Linked DNA regions of Canis lupus familiaris. The main gene of each other region encodes a partner of the protein of the gene in region 2 in a complex. Links are inferred from orthologs where the notes say so. Each region holds a gene or a part of one and is shown on either strand. Other genes may lie near its edges.

Evidence for each region. The genes of interacting proteins can lie anywhere in the genome.
Region 1: ADGRG1 (region 2) and CD81 share a complex: the UniProt entries of both Homo sapiens proteins name them as parts of the GPCR-tetraspanin complex. The link is inferred for Canis lupus familiaris from reciprocal best matches to the Homo sapiens genes ADGRG1 and CD81.

The regions. Positions count from the first base shown.
Region 1 is NC_049239.1:46,920,762-46,928,549, reverse strand, and holds part of CD81 (CD81 antigen), read right to left. Parts: intron 7,141-7,788; exon of another isoform or gene 7,122-7,140; intron 5,713-7,121; coding exon 5,598-5,712; intron 2,433-5,597; coding exon 2,335-2,432; intron 1,706-2,334; coding exon 1,631-1,705; intron 1,282-1,630; coding exon 1,177-1,281; intron 763-1,176; coding exon 661-762; intron 171-660; coding exon 84-170; intron 3-83; coding exon 1-2. UniProt on the Homo sapiens protein: Structural component of specialized membrane microdomains known as tetraspanin-enriched microdomains (TERMs), which act as platforms for receptor clustering and signaling.
Region 2 is NC_049223.1:58,074,348-58,082,016, reverse strand, and holds the end of ADGRG1 (adhesion G-protein coupled receptor G1), read left to right. Parts: intron 1-1,275; coding exon 1,276-1,544; intron 1,545-2,493; coding exon 2,494-2,602; intron 2,603-2,831; coding exon 2,832-3,100; intron 3,101-4,057; coding exon 4,058-4,188; 3' UTR 4,189-5,386; downstream 5,387-7,669. UniProt on the Homo sapiens protein: Adhesion G-protein coupled receptor (aGPCR) for steroid hormone 17alpha-hydroxypregnenolone (17-OH), which is involved in cell adhesion and cell-cell interactions.

The sequences.
Region 1 (7,788 bases), on a different chromosome or scaffold from region 2:
ATCTGTGGGGACGGGTGGGTGGGACTGTCAGCACCCGGAGACTGTGGGGCCGCCTCACGCGGATGCCTGGCCCGTGTACTCACCATGATCACGGCCACCACGATGGCTGCAATGCCAATGAGGTACAGCTTCCCCGAGAAGAGGTCATCGATCTTCTGGTGGCAGTCCTCCTGTGGGGGACAGCCCGCCGACGGTCAGGAGTGCAGGCCCTCGGGCCCCTCAGTGCAGCGGCTCGGGGTCATTGTGGCAAGAGAAGGGAGGGGCTCGATTCCCTGAAGACGTGCCACCAGGGCCTGGTCTCTGCCAGGTTATCTCACGTCCATTTTAAAGCAGATGTGGAGGGGGCGCCTGGGAGGCTCAGCGGGTGAAGCATCTGTCTTGGGTTCAGGGCAGGTCCCGGGTTCTGGGATCAATCCCCATGTTGGGCTCCCTGCTTAGCAGGGAGTCTGCTTCTCCCTCTGCCCCTCCTCCTGCTCGTGTTCTCTCTCTCTCTCTCTCTCTCCCTCTCCCTCTCGCTCACTCTCTCTCTCAAAATGTTTAAAATAAATAAAGCAGATGTGGAAACGGAAGGTGCTGTGTGCAGAGCCAGGGGCCCAACCCAGCTGGGCTGCTGGACGCGACGTGGGGCCAACCCTGGGCGGCCCAGTGGGCTCCATGTACCTTGAACAAGTTGCTAATGACGTTGCTGCCAGAGGGACACAGGCTGTTCTTGAGCATGGAGGTGGTGAGCGCGGAGAGCGTGCTGGAGCCACAGCAGTTGAGCTGCACGGAGGACACCTGCGGTCAGCCCGGGCCGTGTGCACAGAGGACCACAGGGACACGGCCAGGGACATACACCCCGTGGGCTGCCCAAGCCCCAGGGGTGTCCCCAGCCAGGGAGGGTCTGCTCCTCAAGAAGAACAGCCCAGGACTCCTCATCCCCTCCACCCTTGGCTGTGCTGCTCAGAGACCCCCACACCCAGGCCTTCCTACTGCCCATCTGGCTCACACAGGGGACCTGCAGGTCCCAGACAATCCCCTGGGCGGGGGGGGGGGGGGGGTCCCAGATAGGGCTCCACGGCCCTCCAGGAGAAGGGCTTCCAGGTCTCCAGTGCCCCACGGAGACCAGATTCAACCCCAGCCAGGCCTCACTCACGGAGGACAACCCTCCTGCACCCCCAGCACCCCCTGCCGCACCGTCTCATGGAAGGTCTTCACCACGGCCTTGGCATTGTTGGCTTCGTCGTCCACCACGGCCTGCTGCAGAGCCTGGTCGTAGAATTGCTTCACATCCTTGGCGATCTGGGGGGAGGGTGTGCGGGAGGGCCGAGGTCACCCCACAGCAAGGACCACCCCAGAGAGGGGGGCAAGCGGTTCACCTGGCTCTCTTGAGAAGATAATGCTTCCAGGGTAGACCAGGATTGCCCCCCATCACCACTCGAGGCTGGGAGACAGGTGGCCCTGCCTTCTCCTCAGCCCCCGCGCCACCTCCTCCAGAAAGCCCTCCGTGGCCTTTCTACCAGGCAGGCCCCAGGGGGAGCCCCAAAGAGCACCCTGCGATCCCAGGGTAGGCCCAACCTGAGCAGCAGGCGGGCACCCCTCCCTCCTGACCCTGCTGGGATGGGCCCCACCACCGTGATCCCGGGCTCACCTGGTCTTTGTTGACAAAGCCCCAGATGCCGGCAGCTACTTCACAGGCAAACAGGATGACGAGGCAGGTGAAGAACTGGGAAGGCCATGCAGGACCCAGAGGGGAGGGCAGAGACATGCGGGGTGAGAACAGGCGTGGGGTCACGCAGATGCCGGACGTCCGAGTGACCCGCAGGTGCATGTGTGGGGTTGGCCTCCACTCCGCACGTCCCATCCAGGGAGCAGCCGTGCGGAGGTGAAAAGCAGCGAGGGGGAAGAGTCAGTCCCAGCAGTGACATGCCAGTGTTCTCAGCAGCCCTACAGGCTGGGGCTGGGGTCCCAAGGAAGCCCCTTCCACACCCCACTTCTCCCTCTGCCCACGGGAAGGGAGCATCGTGACACGGCCACCCACTGCCCCGTTTCCCGACTGCCTGGGCCTCTGTGTCCCCGTGGAGGTTGGCCCAAGGGACATGGCCCTATTGTTTCTGGCTTTTTACTAAAACCAGAGAGGAAAACTGTGGAACTCTGAGTTTGGAACCAGACATCCCAGCAGTCAACCAGGACCGGATTTCAGGACCAGAAAGGGACGTTGGGGCTGACGTTCTGGGCTAGGTCCCCAGGCTGCCCTGCGAGCCCCCCTCCACGGCCTCCCACACTGGCAAGGGATGCACCCAGCAGAGCTCCAGGCTCTGTCTCTGTGTCCCCCAGCCCCACTCACGACCTTACCGTCCCCAGCAGGCACTGGGACTCCTGGATGGCCCCATAGCAGCCCAGGAACCCAACGAACATCATCACAGCGCCCACGGCGATGAGGATGTAGATGCCTTTGTGGGAGAGCAGGGACACCCTCAGTGAGCAGCGTCCCAAAGGCCACGGCCCCTCTCCAGCCATGCGTCCCACCCCCAGCCCAGGACTTGGGCCCCCCTGCCCTAGTGGAGGGCACTGCGGCCTGGCCGTCGGAGTGAGCACCCCCCTGCATGTCTGCACCTGGAGCCAGGCCGCTGAGGGGGCCCGGTGGGACTGACCGGCAGGGGCGAGCACTCAGAAGGCTCTGCCCTCAGAGCTTCACACGGAACTGCTCCCGGGGTGAGGCCCGTGCAGCCTGCACCCACTCTGGTTCCCGAGAGCCCCTGGGATGAGGTGATGACCACAAAGGATCATCCTCTCCAGGTGCACAGGGCCCTGCTCTTGGCTCAAGGGGAGAGGAGGGGACATAACCCCAGGAGGGCTTGAGCCAGCTTCCGAGGCTCTGATCCCAGGGACCGGAGCCTGCTGGATGAGGGGGCCTGGCCCCATGGAGGATGGCGTGGTGACAGCACACAGGGGCTGCCCACCAGGCTGGGTACGAGCTCCTGGGCAAGCAGGGAGGGCCACCACAGGGGAGTGCAGGTTCCCCTGGCCCACCCACACAGGGCCCTGAGACCACTGGGAGACGCCAACTGTGGCCTTCCAGCAATCCTGGGCCTGGGCCTGTCCCCCTGCCATCACAGCAGCCCAAGCCCCTGTCCATACAGCCAAGGTCCCAGGTTCCAGGGTCTGGCCAGCCTGGCATCCAGGCCCAAACACTGTGCTGGGAAATGGCCGAGGGCCTCCTCCTGGCCAAAGCCTCTGGACAGCACTTGGTGGACCTGGCGGAAGAGAGGCCTCCGGCCATGGCTGGCTCAGGGGCTTCCTGCCCAGGGGGCACAGCACCCTGCAGCTCAGTCTCCCTGCCCTCGGACCTCAAGGAAACATGGGTCCCCGGGTCCCCAATCCTGTCTCACTACGGGAGCTTGGGCACACTGCAACAGGTGCAGGGAGGAGCTGCCAGATGTTCTAGGTCATGCCAGGGGCCGGACACCCGGGGGCAGGCGTCTGACCCGCAGCTCCTCGAGAACCCCGGGGTCTGGTTCCCACAAGTGTGGCTGGGGACCCACCAGGCCCTGTGGCATTGCCTGGGGTGTTGAGTGTGCCCTGCTAACCTGCCCCTCTGCCAGCATCAGACAAAGAACCCTTGTCAGGGCCTACATCTGCTCCCCCACCGCCCTGGCAGGCCTGGCCCACCTTGGGGCCAGCGGGAGGCTCTAGAAGACCAGTCCTTGATGGGCGGGGACACAGCAGCCCATGGGGGACACAGTAGCAGCTCAGGCCTAGGGCTGACAGGCCCTGCCTCCACTCCGCCCTCCAGGTGCCTCCCCAGGGCAGGCTCCCCTCAGTGTGTAAGCCAAGGTCAGCCTCATGGCAACAGCCCAGTGTAGTAGCTGTGAGGGACAGCCTCTGGACAACACCCACTTTGCCCCCTATAAGCTTCTCCTATGGGACCTCTTCCCCGCAGGAGCTCGGGCACAGTCCTGCAGCCTCACTCCTCCCAGCCTGGGCCCGAGCCTGTGACCAGTGTCCCCAGCCTGCCCAGCCCATACCTGGCCTGCACCCAGGGAGCCTTCAGCTCCTCTACCATGCTGGGCCAGACGGAGGGCTATAAGTGCAGGAGCAGCTCTGGCCATGGGGCAGGAGGGTGACCCCTTCCCAAACCACTGCCCACACCCATGGCATGCTGGGTCCTGGAGAGGGCGCACAGACAGCAGCAGCCCACAGGCAGGATGTGGGGTCCTGCCCAGTGGTTGTGGGGAAGGGGAGGCAGGCCTGTAGGACAAGTGGGCAAAGCTGAAAGTCCCACTCCTGAGGGTGCCCAGGCCCTGGTGGGGGTCCCCATGTGCATCCCTGGAGCAGGCAAGCAGAGGGGCCCTGTCCTCCAGAGACTCAAACCTGGGAGAGGCCCCACCACCCAGGGGAGCCTAGGAATCTGGAGACAGAGGCCTGGGAGCCCGCCCTCCCCCCCCCCCCCCCGCCCCAGGTCAGCTGGCCCTCGGAGGCCACTGCCAGAGCCACAGGCTCCCATCTCCAGGGAAGAAAGGGGCCACCTCATTGATGCTCCGGGGTCAGACCTCTCGACCCTGCAGGTCACAGAGGGTCATGGGCTGGGATGGGGCATACATGCCCCCTATGCTCCTGGGGTGTCCTGGGCCATCCCCACTCCAGCAACCGAGTGTGATCCTAAGTGTGTGTGTGTGTGGGGGGGCACCGAACACCAGCTGGGAAGGACCTAGACCCTGTCGAGGCCACACGCACTGCACCAGGCCAGTGGGGTGGCTCTGGTCCTAATACAGAGCCCCGCAACCTAGAGGCCTACACATACTTCCTGCCCTGCTGCTAGGCCTTTGGGGAGGAGGAGGGCCATGCCAGGCCTTCCTTTAAAGGACAGAAACAAGACTTCCAGAGCCCCATGAGGGCCAGGCCCTGCCTCCCGCTGGCTCAGGACCAACCTAAGGAGGAGTGCAGCTCTGCAAGGCAAGGGGGGGCAGGGGTGGGGGCTCAACCCCCAGCCCCACGGACACCCTGAGGGCACAGCTGCTGCCTGGGAGGCAGACACGCAGCCTAATAAGGCAGCAAGGTGTGGCTGGGGAGGCCTGAGGCACACTGGCCCCTGCCCCACCCCGGGCCCAGAGTCCCCCTCCCCTCAGGGGCCTCAGCAGCCCAGGCAGGCATCCAGCCCCGCCCCTGCCCAGGGAGCCTCCCCTGAAATACCCACCATGAGACAGCTCCCCCTCCTGCCCCGAGTCCGCCCCCAGAGGCCAACTGGTGAGTCCCAACCACCCACACACCCTGGGATGTTCCAGACTTGCCTGGCAGCCTGGTTCCTGCCCCATGCACCCCCCACCCAGCCAGGCTGGACCACCTCCGAACGCCCCCCCCCCCCAGGGCCCCAGGCTGACCTGACTCCACCCACAGTATCTCTGTCTCACTCTCTCTCCCCAAGAGCCCCCGCTGGCAGGCCTCCTCCACACCCAGCAGCCCAGCACTGCAGCAAGCCCCACTGGCCTGGCCCATGCCCTGCCTCCTCCTGGAAGCCCTTCCTGACCACCTGTTGGCAGACACCCTGGTGGATCTCGTTCCTGCTGGCCCCCAGCCCAGTGCCAGCCAGGTTCTGGGCCCACCCCACATGCACTTACCTACATAGAAGGTGTTGGGTGCAGGCCTGTCCCCGAGCTCCAGATAGAGGAGGTTGGTGGTCTGTGGGTCATGGCGCAGCCACAGGGCCACACCCAGGATCACGCCTCCAGCCAACTGGGGAAAGAACGGGTCCAGGGTTACTTGCAGTGCTGAGGTGGGCTATACCATCCCCTGAATGCCCACTGAGGCAGGTGTGGGACCCTCGGCTCGACTGGCCAGTGGGTCCAGGGCAGCCCCCTCCAGGTGGCTCCACATGTCTGTTTCACTGACCTGGTGTTTGGGATGCCCCAGGAAGGAAGGCCTGGATATGGGCCCACATCCCTGATACTGATGGGGCACACTTCTGTCAAAACAGCACTTATATTTTATCTGGAGCTCAAATTCAACTGGATGTCCTTTATTTTTACTTGCTAATCCGGCCACAGTCCACACCAGACCTGAGCACCCCAGGGACTGCTAGGCCCTCCTCCAAGGGGGTGGCTTCAGCAGCCCTGTGCTCATCTGGGAACCCCATGGAGGGGACTCCAAGTCTTTGGTGCCCAGAGAGAGAGGGGTGGGGATCTGATGCCACCAGGGCCCTGGTGGGGCTGATGGAGGAACTAGATAAGGCGAGGCCGCAGAGGCTGGTGGCATCCAGGAAGCTGCAGGGCGAGGGGCCCGGCCGTCTGTGGGATAAATCCTTGCTGCTGTCAGCCCTGGGAAGGGAAGCCGCTACAGGAGGAAGGAAGCACGCTGTGCTCCCAGAGGCCAGGGGAGGGGCTGCCCGAGCAGCTGGGGCAGGAAAGGGGACTGTGCTCAGAGCCTGGCAGGAGAACAGGAGCTTCCAGCTCTGGTAGGCCCTTCAGAGACTCACCGTCCTTCGAGCACAGGGCACCTACGGAGGGTGGGGAGGGGGAGGCCCTGAAGGGAAACAAAGACCAGGGCCTGGCCTACACATGAGCATCTCACCAGCCCAAGCCAGTGGCCTGCTGCCCTCCGGGCCACCTTCCAGGTCCCTGGCCTCCTCTCTGCCGGGCTGTCCCAGCCCTGGATGCCCCACTGAGGTGGAATCTGCTCCCAGGGCTACAAGCCTTGGCGCAGGCTGGAGGGCCTAGCTGCGCAGCCATCCGCTCCTGGCTTCCTCTTCCTACCATGCGTGGCCTGGCAACTGAGGCCATCCCCCAACCTGCCTCCACAGCACCAGACACTGACCCCAGCCCCCTGCCCCTGCAACAGGACCAGAGCTATGTGACCTACGGGGAGCAGAAACTGAGAAGTAGACCTCAAGGAAAGCACCTGCCCCGAGGCCCGGCCAGGGAGCAGACCCCTGACATGGTGGGTGGGGCCAACCTGCTCAGTGGGGCATGAGTGACTGAGCCTCAGCACTGCGGGCCGCCCCACAAAAAGCCCCAGCAGCTGCCCAGGCCTTTCTCCTCTGGGCTCAGCTACTGGTAAGACTGGGGGTGGGGGGCTGGCTTCCACACACCAAGCGAGGGTGCTCTGTCCACGCCCCTCCAGCCTGGGGTTTCTGTTTCCCAGCACACCTCTCCCAAAGTTCCAGGTCTGGTCAGGGAGGGCCAGCCAAGGCTCTGCAGCTCCATCCTGTACTCCAGCAAGTATGGGGAGGTCCACCAAGGGCCTACTGTGCACCTGCTCTGGCCAGGGTCCCCTCCCACGGCCCTGTGGACACCGCACAGCCCTCCAAGGGCAGGGCCCTGGGCTCCCAGCACCCTGTGCCTCTCTGTGACACCTGTCACTGACAGGAGAGGCCAGAGGGCCCATGGGACAGTGGGGGCAGGGCGGGCGCCCCAGAGCCCTCAGCTCCTCCCGAGGTGGCTGCCATCTGCGGCTCCAAGGGAGGCGGCGCAACGAGGCTGAGGGTTGCCGTGGTAACTCTGGCTTGAAACCGTTACTTGTTCTGTTTTGAAACTGTGGTCCAGAGCTGCCTTTGTGAGATGTTCCAGGGCGGAGGGGGAGGGGTGGGGAAGCCCCTGTCCTGGGCCTCCCTCTGTAGTCCCTCTGTAGTCCCAGAGCCCTGGACACAAGCCCCAACTCAGCCTCCCCATCCCCATCAGCGCAGCGGTGCAGGCCCCCTGGCCAGGCTGGGACTGCTCCTTGTGCAGCCCCTTCACCCCAGGAGCTGGGGAGACAAGTGTCTTGGGGTGCACAGTCCTAACAAAAGTGTGGTTGGGACTGTACTCCTCCTAACCC
Region 2 (7,669 bases):
GCAAGGCCGCAGTTACTGAAGCTAAGCAGTGGCCGCCGTGGACAGGCACAGCCTCGAGAGTTCTGTCCAGCGCCCTGTTGTCCAGTGTCTGACTGCAGGCCTGGCCCCTGTGGCATTCCGGCTTGACAGGGCCTACTGCACCCCCACCCCAGGGGCTGTCTGTCACTCCATTTCTGTCATTGCGGTGCCTTGGGGAGGGAGGAGCCCCACGGACAGGATGAAGAGCGCCTTTATGCCTCCTCACGCCGGCTGTGTGGACGGGTCTGGATTGTCAGGGCTGGGCCTGAGGTGCACCGTGGTCAGGGCCCGGGCCCGTTTGTGTGGAGGGGAGACATTCTAAGCACCCGGAGCGTGCTCGCTGTTCTCGGGTGGAGGACAGGAGGGTGAGGCTGCGTGTCTGCGTGTGCCTAAGAGGTGGTGTTGTGTGAGCTCACAGCTGTGCACGGTGGGGCTGGAGCAGTGACAAGGGACAGCAGGCAGGCTCAGGGCACAAGCCCCCAGCACCTACCCATGCATCGCTAGAGTGTCCAGGGGCCCAGGGACAGAGAACCTTACGGACTGGAGTGTTTTACCTGTGCCTGATGCTTTACCTTGGTGGGGGGGGGGACGCCCTCCCACTTCACAGATGAGTGAGCTGAGGGTGAGGGGGAAGGGAGCAGCCCAGGGAGATACCTAGGGCCACGGGTGGGCATGGCTCTTGTTCCTTCTGGAACAGGTAGCAGGAGGTGGTGCTGGGCAGATCACAGGTGGGGGTTTGGAGGGCCAGGGAGGTAACGCCGGCAGTGTTTGGATCCTGTCGAGTCCTGGGTGTGGGGGGTGGCGGGGCTGTGCACACACAGACTTGCAGCCCTGAAGACAGACAGACATACCCCACCCCGCCATACTCACAGCCTCACAGTCACATGGTTGTGCAGACAGATGGGCAGACACAGGACACAGTGGCACGGAGTCTCCAAAACAGCAACAAATGCGGAGTCTTTCCCCTCCAACTTTGGGAGTATCTGGCTGGTTGCAGTGGCCAGATTTGTCTTGCTTGTTGTCTGTGGCTGAATCTGTTGTTGAATATGCACACGGTGCCCGACCTGTGGGTCCTGGGCACACAGTAGGTGCTCAGGGACTCGTGGGAGATGACCTGGCTGCAGCCATAGGAACAGGAGAGGGTGTGCGTGTGTAGTCTGGGAAGGCTGCCTGGAGGAGGAGTGCTGCCCGCACCTCCCCAAGTGGGCCACCATGGTGACCCTATGCGCCCGCCGCCCCTCCCCGCCCCCACCGCAGGAGGAAGTCTCGGGATTACACCATCAAGGTGCACATGAACTTGCTGCTGGCTGTCTTCCTGCTGGATGTGAGCTTCCTGCTGAGCGAGCCGGTGGCCCTGGCCGGCTCCGAGGCTGGCTGCCGCGCCAGCGCCATCTTCCTGCACTTCTCTCTGCTCTCCTGCCTCTCCTGGATGGGCCTGGAGGGCTACAACCTCTACCGACTCGTGGTTGAGGTCTTCGGCACCTACGTCCCCGGCTACCTGCTCAAGCTGAGCATCATGGGCTGGGGTAGGTGGGCAGAGGGCGCTGGCAGGCCCCCCACGCCTGCCTCTTCTACTCGACTTCCTTTACCCATACATCCTCAGGTGTTCTTGGCCTTGGCTGGGTTAAGGACCCCTTTGGGAAGATGAAGTGCTGAGCACTGCCCCCAGAAACACATACTCTTCACATTGCTCACTTTTTAAAAGGAAGGTTTGCAGACAGCCACCATGTATGGATGTGCAGGTTGTGTACTGCTCAAAGGCACCCCGTTGGGGGATGAGTGGGCCGTAATCCCGTCCTCCACTCATCTAATGCACCCAGGCTGGCAGTGGCTCTGTCTGTGGATCCTCCAGCGCTTCAGATAACAGATTCTCCATAGCTCTGGTGTTTGTTCTTGGCCAAGACCACCCAGTTTACCATGGCCCAGACCTCTCAGGCCTGGAGGCCCAGGGGGCACACCACGAGTCCTTGTGGATGTTGCAGCAGCCCCCAAACTCCACATTCCCTCACCCAGCTTGCTGCTCCTCTGTGTTTCTCATCTGTCCCATTCTTGATTCACTCCATTGATTTACACAAAATCCCTTCAGAGTTGGCTCTGTGTCAAGACCTGGGTGTTTGGTGCTGGGTGACCACTTCTGGAGAGTCCTCGGTCCCCAGCTGGTGGGCAAAGTCGAGGCCCAGTGCAGAAGTCCCCTTTCCAGCTACCCCCCACCCCCCAGTCTGTGCCCCCGTCTCCTTGTGACGTCCTGCCCCCCAGCAGGGAAGCTCAGACCTTCTCTCCAGGGATGGAGGCCCAGGGGGCCCAGGATGGTGAGGGGGAAGGGGCAAGCCAGGGCGATGGGGCTCTCTATGGGAAACCTAAACTGGAGTGGGGGAGGGGAGGGTCTGATCACGGAGGACCCTCCTGGAGGAGGGGAGGGGAGGGGAGGGCACCCCCAGGCGGTGGGAGATGGAACTGCACGCTTGCTGCCGGCAGGCTTCCCTGTCTTCCTGGTGATGTTGGTGGCGCTGGTGGACATCAGTAACTATGGCCCCATCATCCTGGCTGTGCACAGGACTCCGGAGAGTGTCATCTACCCTTCCATGTGAGTGGCTGAGTGCGTGGGGGCGGGAACACGAGCCTGGGAGTGCGGAGCCACACTGCCACACTGACCTCGGGGCTCCTGGGCGCCAGGGCTGCTGGAGGCCTTGGCCTGGCAGGGAAGGTGGTGAAGGCGGCTCCCCGGCCCTCGGGGCCCCTGTGACGCACACCCACAGCCCAGAAGCACGGCACCAGCCCTGTCACCCCCTGAGCCCTCATGTCTTTGCTGTCAGGTGCTGGATCCGGGACTCCCTGGTCAGCCATGTCACCAACCTGGGCCTCTTCAGCCTGGTGTTTCTGTTCAACATGGCCATGCTGGGCACCATGGTGGTGCAGATCCTGCGGCTGCGCCCGCATGCTCACAAGTGGCCCCACGTGCTCACGCTGCTGGGGCTCAGCCTGGTCCTCGGTTTACCCTGGGCCTTGGTCTTCTTCTCCTTTGCTTCTGGCACCTTCCAGCTTGTGGTCCTCTACTTATTCAGCATCATCACCTCCTTCCAAGGTAGGCACAGAGAAGACCACCACCCCGGCCCCGGGTAGGGTACCCACGTGTGGAGTACGGGGCTGGGAAGATAGGGAGCCAACCCTGAAGGCTTCTCTGGGCCTCGGTCTTCCCATCTGTAAAATGGGGGCACCCAGGCCATAGTTGACAAGTCTTTATTGAGTACCTAGGACGTGGAGGCCCTGTGTGAAAACTTGGGGCTGCATCTGTGAACTAAGACTTGAACTCCTCTGGGTATCAGCCTCGTGGGGAGCTTGCTAGATGTGTAGACTCTGGCCATGCCAGACTTACTGAATCAGATCTGCACTGTAACAGATGCCCAGGGTGTGTGTGTGTGTGTGTGTGTGTGTGTGTGTGTGTGTCACAGGCTGCGGAGCTCTGGTCTAAGAGAGTGCTGGGCAGAGGGAGATGCAAGAGCCAAGGTCCTGAGGCTAAAACTAGGTGTGTGTTGGAAGGACAGTGAAGGGGAGCAAGGCTGAAGGGTAGCTGGGTAAGGGGCAGAGGGGAGGAGGGAAGGGGAGAGATGCAGAGGAGCTGGATCATGAGGGCTGGGGCTTGATGCCGGCAGGTCCCTCTACTGGGACCCCTCTACACCCCCTCCCCCACCAAGGACAGACAGACAGACATACACGCACACCCCTCTGTTCTGGCCGAGAGGTGCTTAAGCAGGTGTTCTGGAGCCTGAACACCACTGTTTAGCTCCTGGCTCAGTCAAGTCCCCTTACCTCCCTGTGCCTCAGTTTTCTCATTTGTGAAACAGAATAGTAATGAATAGGCCTGACCTCATGAGAATCTCGAGAGGATAAAGTGAGATGGGGCCCAGGAAATCTCAGTGTCTGGGGCACGGTGGGTGTTCCCTTGATCACATGGGTGCTGGTAGCCTGTAGGGAGGAGGGGAGGGAAGGGGCAGGGCTGCCCGCCCCCCCGCTGAACCCCATGCCCCCTCCCTGCCCACAGGCTTCTTCATCTTCCTCTGGTACTGGTCCATGCGGCTGCAGGCCCGGGGCGGGCCCTCGCCTCTGAAAAGCAGCTCGGACAGCGCCAGGCTCCCCATCAGTTCGGGCAGCACCTCGTCCAGCCGCATCTAGGCCACCAGCCACCCGCCAGAAGCTGCCTGAGGAACCAGAGATGGGGCTTGTCCTCACCACCACCTGCCACCCCCACAGCCAGGCCTGACACTTGATGGTCAGCCAGAGACTTGAGAGGAAGGCCCAAGGACCTTGGGGTGAGGGGGCTGTTGCCTTGGCAGCCAGACGCCCAGGCTCGGCCCTTTGAATTGGCCTGTGTACTACTCGGCTCTCCGGCCCCGCTTACAAGAGGCTCAGGAGTAGGACCTGTACCCCCACTGTCCTGAGGGCTGAAGGCTGGTCTTAACTCACCACCCCTGGGCCCAGCCCTCATTGCTGAGGATGGGAGGCCACAGGCCCCAAGGTCAAGACCTAGACCTGTGAGGCCTGGCACCATCCTTGGCCCTGTGCCCCAGCCCCGGACAGAATGTGCCAGAGCTACTGTCTCTGGTGAGCTCCACGAGGGCCCTCTGCGGTCCTGTCATTTTAGCCTGAGAGTGGTACTCAGGGCACACGAGTGTGGGGCAGAGCTTTGAGCCAGAGCCCTGGAGGAGGAGAGCCCCCTGCAGCAGCAGCTCCTCTACCTCTGAGCCCAGCACCTCAGCCTCCCCAGCCGCCATCCCTCTCCAGCCCCGGATTCAGCCAATTCCAGTGCTGTATTTTGGGTTGTGGTTGCCAAGAGCTGCTTGGTGCCTGCTGTAAACCTTTATCTACTGCACGGGCCTTTGCCTGCCTTTGACTCAGGCTTAGTATAGATGTTCTGGGCTGGGCCAGGTCTGTCTGTCCATCTGGGCCTTTCTATAGGCTGCCTTGCCCTTGTTCACCACTGCCAAGCCCACCCCTCACAGGGACTGTCAGCCTCTCCCAAAGCCCTCTTGTGGCAAGAACTGTGGAGCATAGCAGGGCAAATTTGCTTCTGCCCCAGTACTGGGAAGACTGAGGTGCGTCTCCCCTGGTGACCCTGGCCTAGAGCCTAACAGGCTCCTCAGGAGCTACAGGCACGGGATTAGGGATTGCTGGAGATCCAGGAAGACTTCCTGTAGGAGGCAACATTTGATCTGGCTCTCAGCCTTAAACATGGGGAGGACTTTCTTTTTAAGCACTAGCTCATTTGTCTTTTGAATTTAAAGAAGTAGATGTTCATTGTAGAGAATTTGGAAACTATAGAAGAAAAGAAATTAAAATCAGCTGTTGTTAATACCTAACAAACTAATGTAAACGTTTGGAGCGCTTCCTTTTGTGCTTCTATTAAGAGTCATTGATACAAACCCCTTAGGCCCAATCAGGAAACACAGATGAGAGAAGGTGGCCATGTGTGAAAAAAATCAACTGCTGGAAACTTTATCCACCAGGACAGGCAGGGGATAAAGGGTTCCTTGGCATCAGTGTTGGGAAGGCAGTGGGGAATGTTGGGGTCTGTGGTGGATTGGAGATGATTAACCCGATGCCGTGGGGCAGCAGCCACTCAGCTCCAGCCGCCCACTGCCCTGAGCAGGGATGCAGGGATGAAGGTCCATGTAGCCATACCACCCACCTTTTATGATAAATCAGGAATCGATTGTGTGGGCGCAAAATCCCTTGATTTAAAAGTCTGACTCATCCAGAAAATTCACTGGCCAAAGAAATCAGATGTGGGGACTGAATTCAGCCCTTGGATGGTCATGTGACGTACGGAACCGGTTTGTGGGCTGGAATGAAGTAGGTGGGCTGCAAGAAGCAATGATTGGACTTGCCTCCCATCACCACCTCCAGCCCAGTTCCGTCCAAGCTGCTGTGCCCGTGCCCCGTGGCTCAGGCAAGGAGGATCTGTGCGGCTCGGTTGCGAGAGGAGCGGCGTCTGAGCCCAGCTGTGTGCATCCAGGTCCACCCCGAGCTTCTGCCCAGCGCAGCCGCCTCCCTCGTCTCCTGGCTGCTCCAGGGGGATGACGGGCTGGGGGAAATGGACAGGATGGGTGCAAGGCCACCTTAGCCATGGAGAGTAGACTGGCAGTGCCCTCTGATGGGTGACTGTGGGATCCGGAGACCTGCGGGGACCTCGGCACGCAGCGCCTCCCTGTGCCCGGCTTCTCTTCCAATGCTCTCTGCTCCTCTGTCCCGTTGGCTTCTGCCTCCACTTTCTGCGAGTCCTGAGGACAGAGGCAAGCCTGGCCCCCAGTGCCCTGCTTGGGCAGATTGGGTGGGGGGTCAGAGCCAGCTCCCTCCTCACAGGCCTCTCAGTCTCTGCAGGAAGGTCTCCTGGAGCGCCACACCTTGGCTAGACCTGGGGGCACGTCCTCCCATCCTCAGGGAGGGAAGGAAAGGACCCAGCTCCCTGCTGCCCCCCCGCCCGGCAGAGAGCACTCCCTTCAAACACATTCTCCCACTTTGGAGAGCTCTTGCATTTTAGGTTTTGTGTTTGAGGCTGGCTCAGGTAGCAGGGAAAGGGGTCTCGGGTCGGATCCCACCTTCTCGGGACAGGTGCTGGACAGGCCCCTCGACGGCTCTTCTCATGCTCTTCAGCGGGCCGTGGGGCCTCAGACAGCAGGACCGCTCTTCTCAGGACACAACCAGGTTTGCGTGTGGGGACGTTGCTCTGGTGTGGGAAACGCACTGAAGAGGCCAGAAGGGCAAATGTGGGCTGGGCCTGGCCAGAAGCCTGGAGGCCTTGTCCCTAGAGACAGAAGCCCACCTGGAGCCACGGGGACAAATCAGTGGTGAGAGGAGGTGGCAGAAAGGGAAGTTATAGTTCCCTGTGTGCTGGGATTTGGAGGTCCCGGGGCTCTGTCCATGGCTCCAGGCCAGCCCCCAGCCCCGATGGGGCCTAGGAGGGGTGGCCCTCCCCCTGGCCCTGTCCAGCTATCTTGGCCACTTTGCCAGCCCGCCGCCCCCTGTCCTGTTTTTCCAGGTATGCTGGACACTCTGGGTGCCTCCTTCTGGGCCCTTCTTCACACACAGGCCCCCATGAGCCCCTTTGAGGGCCCTGGTACTAGCATGGGTCTGCAGCGATAGTGCCAGCCAGTGGCAGTTCCCAAAGCCCTTGTCTGCCATCTCGCCTCACCTGGCTGCCGCTGGGAGGGAGGGGGAACGGGCCGTGCTTCCCATCTGGCCCCAAGTCTTCCCTGCAGAGGAAGTGCCTGGGACACCGTGCCAGATTCCCACCTGCCACCCCCGTCCCAGGAGTGACGCCGCTGACATCCTCTTCCCAACACTCTCCAGGTCCAGGGGGCCCAGAAGGGGACTGATTCCTGCCTGGACACTGTGTGGGAGGAAGAGGCTGGGTGGGTCCTCAGACCCCCATGGTAGAGCATGTGGCGCACTGGCCCTGGAGGGGAGGGGATGCTGGGAGGATGCGCCTTCTTGGCAGGGTGTTCCTACCCTTGATCTTGCAGTGACCATGGGACCATGCCAAAGGCCCTGGCCTTATCCACAGAGCCACCAGATCTGGGGCCTGAGTGGTCAGCCCCTCCCCTTCCCTCGTGGCACTCCCCATGTGTGTCTGCTGCTCTCACTTCCTGTCTGGGCC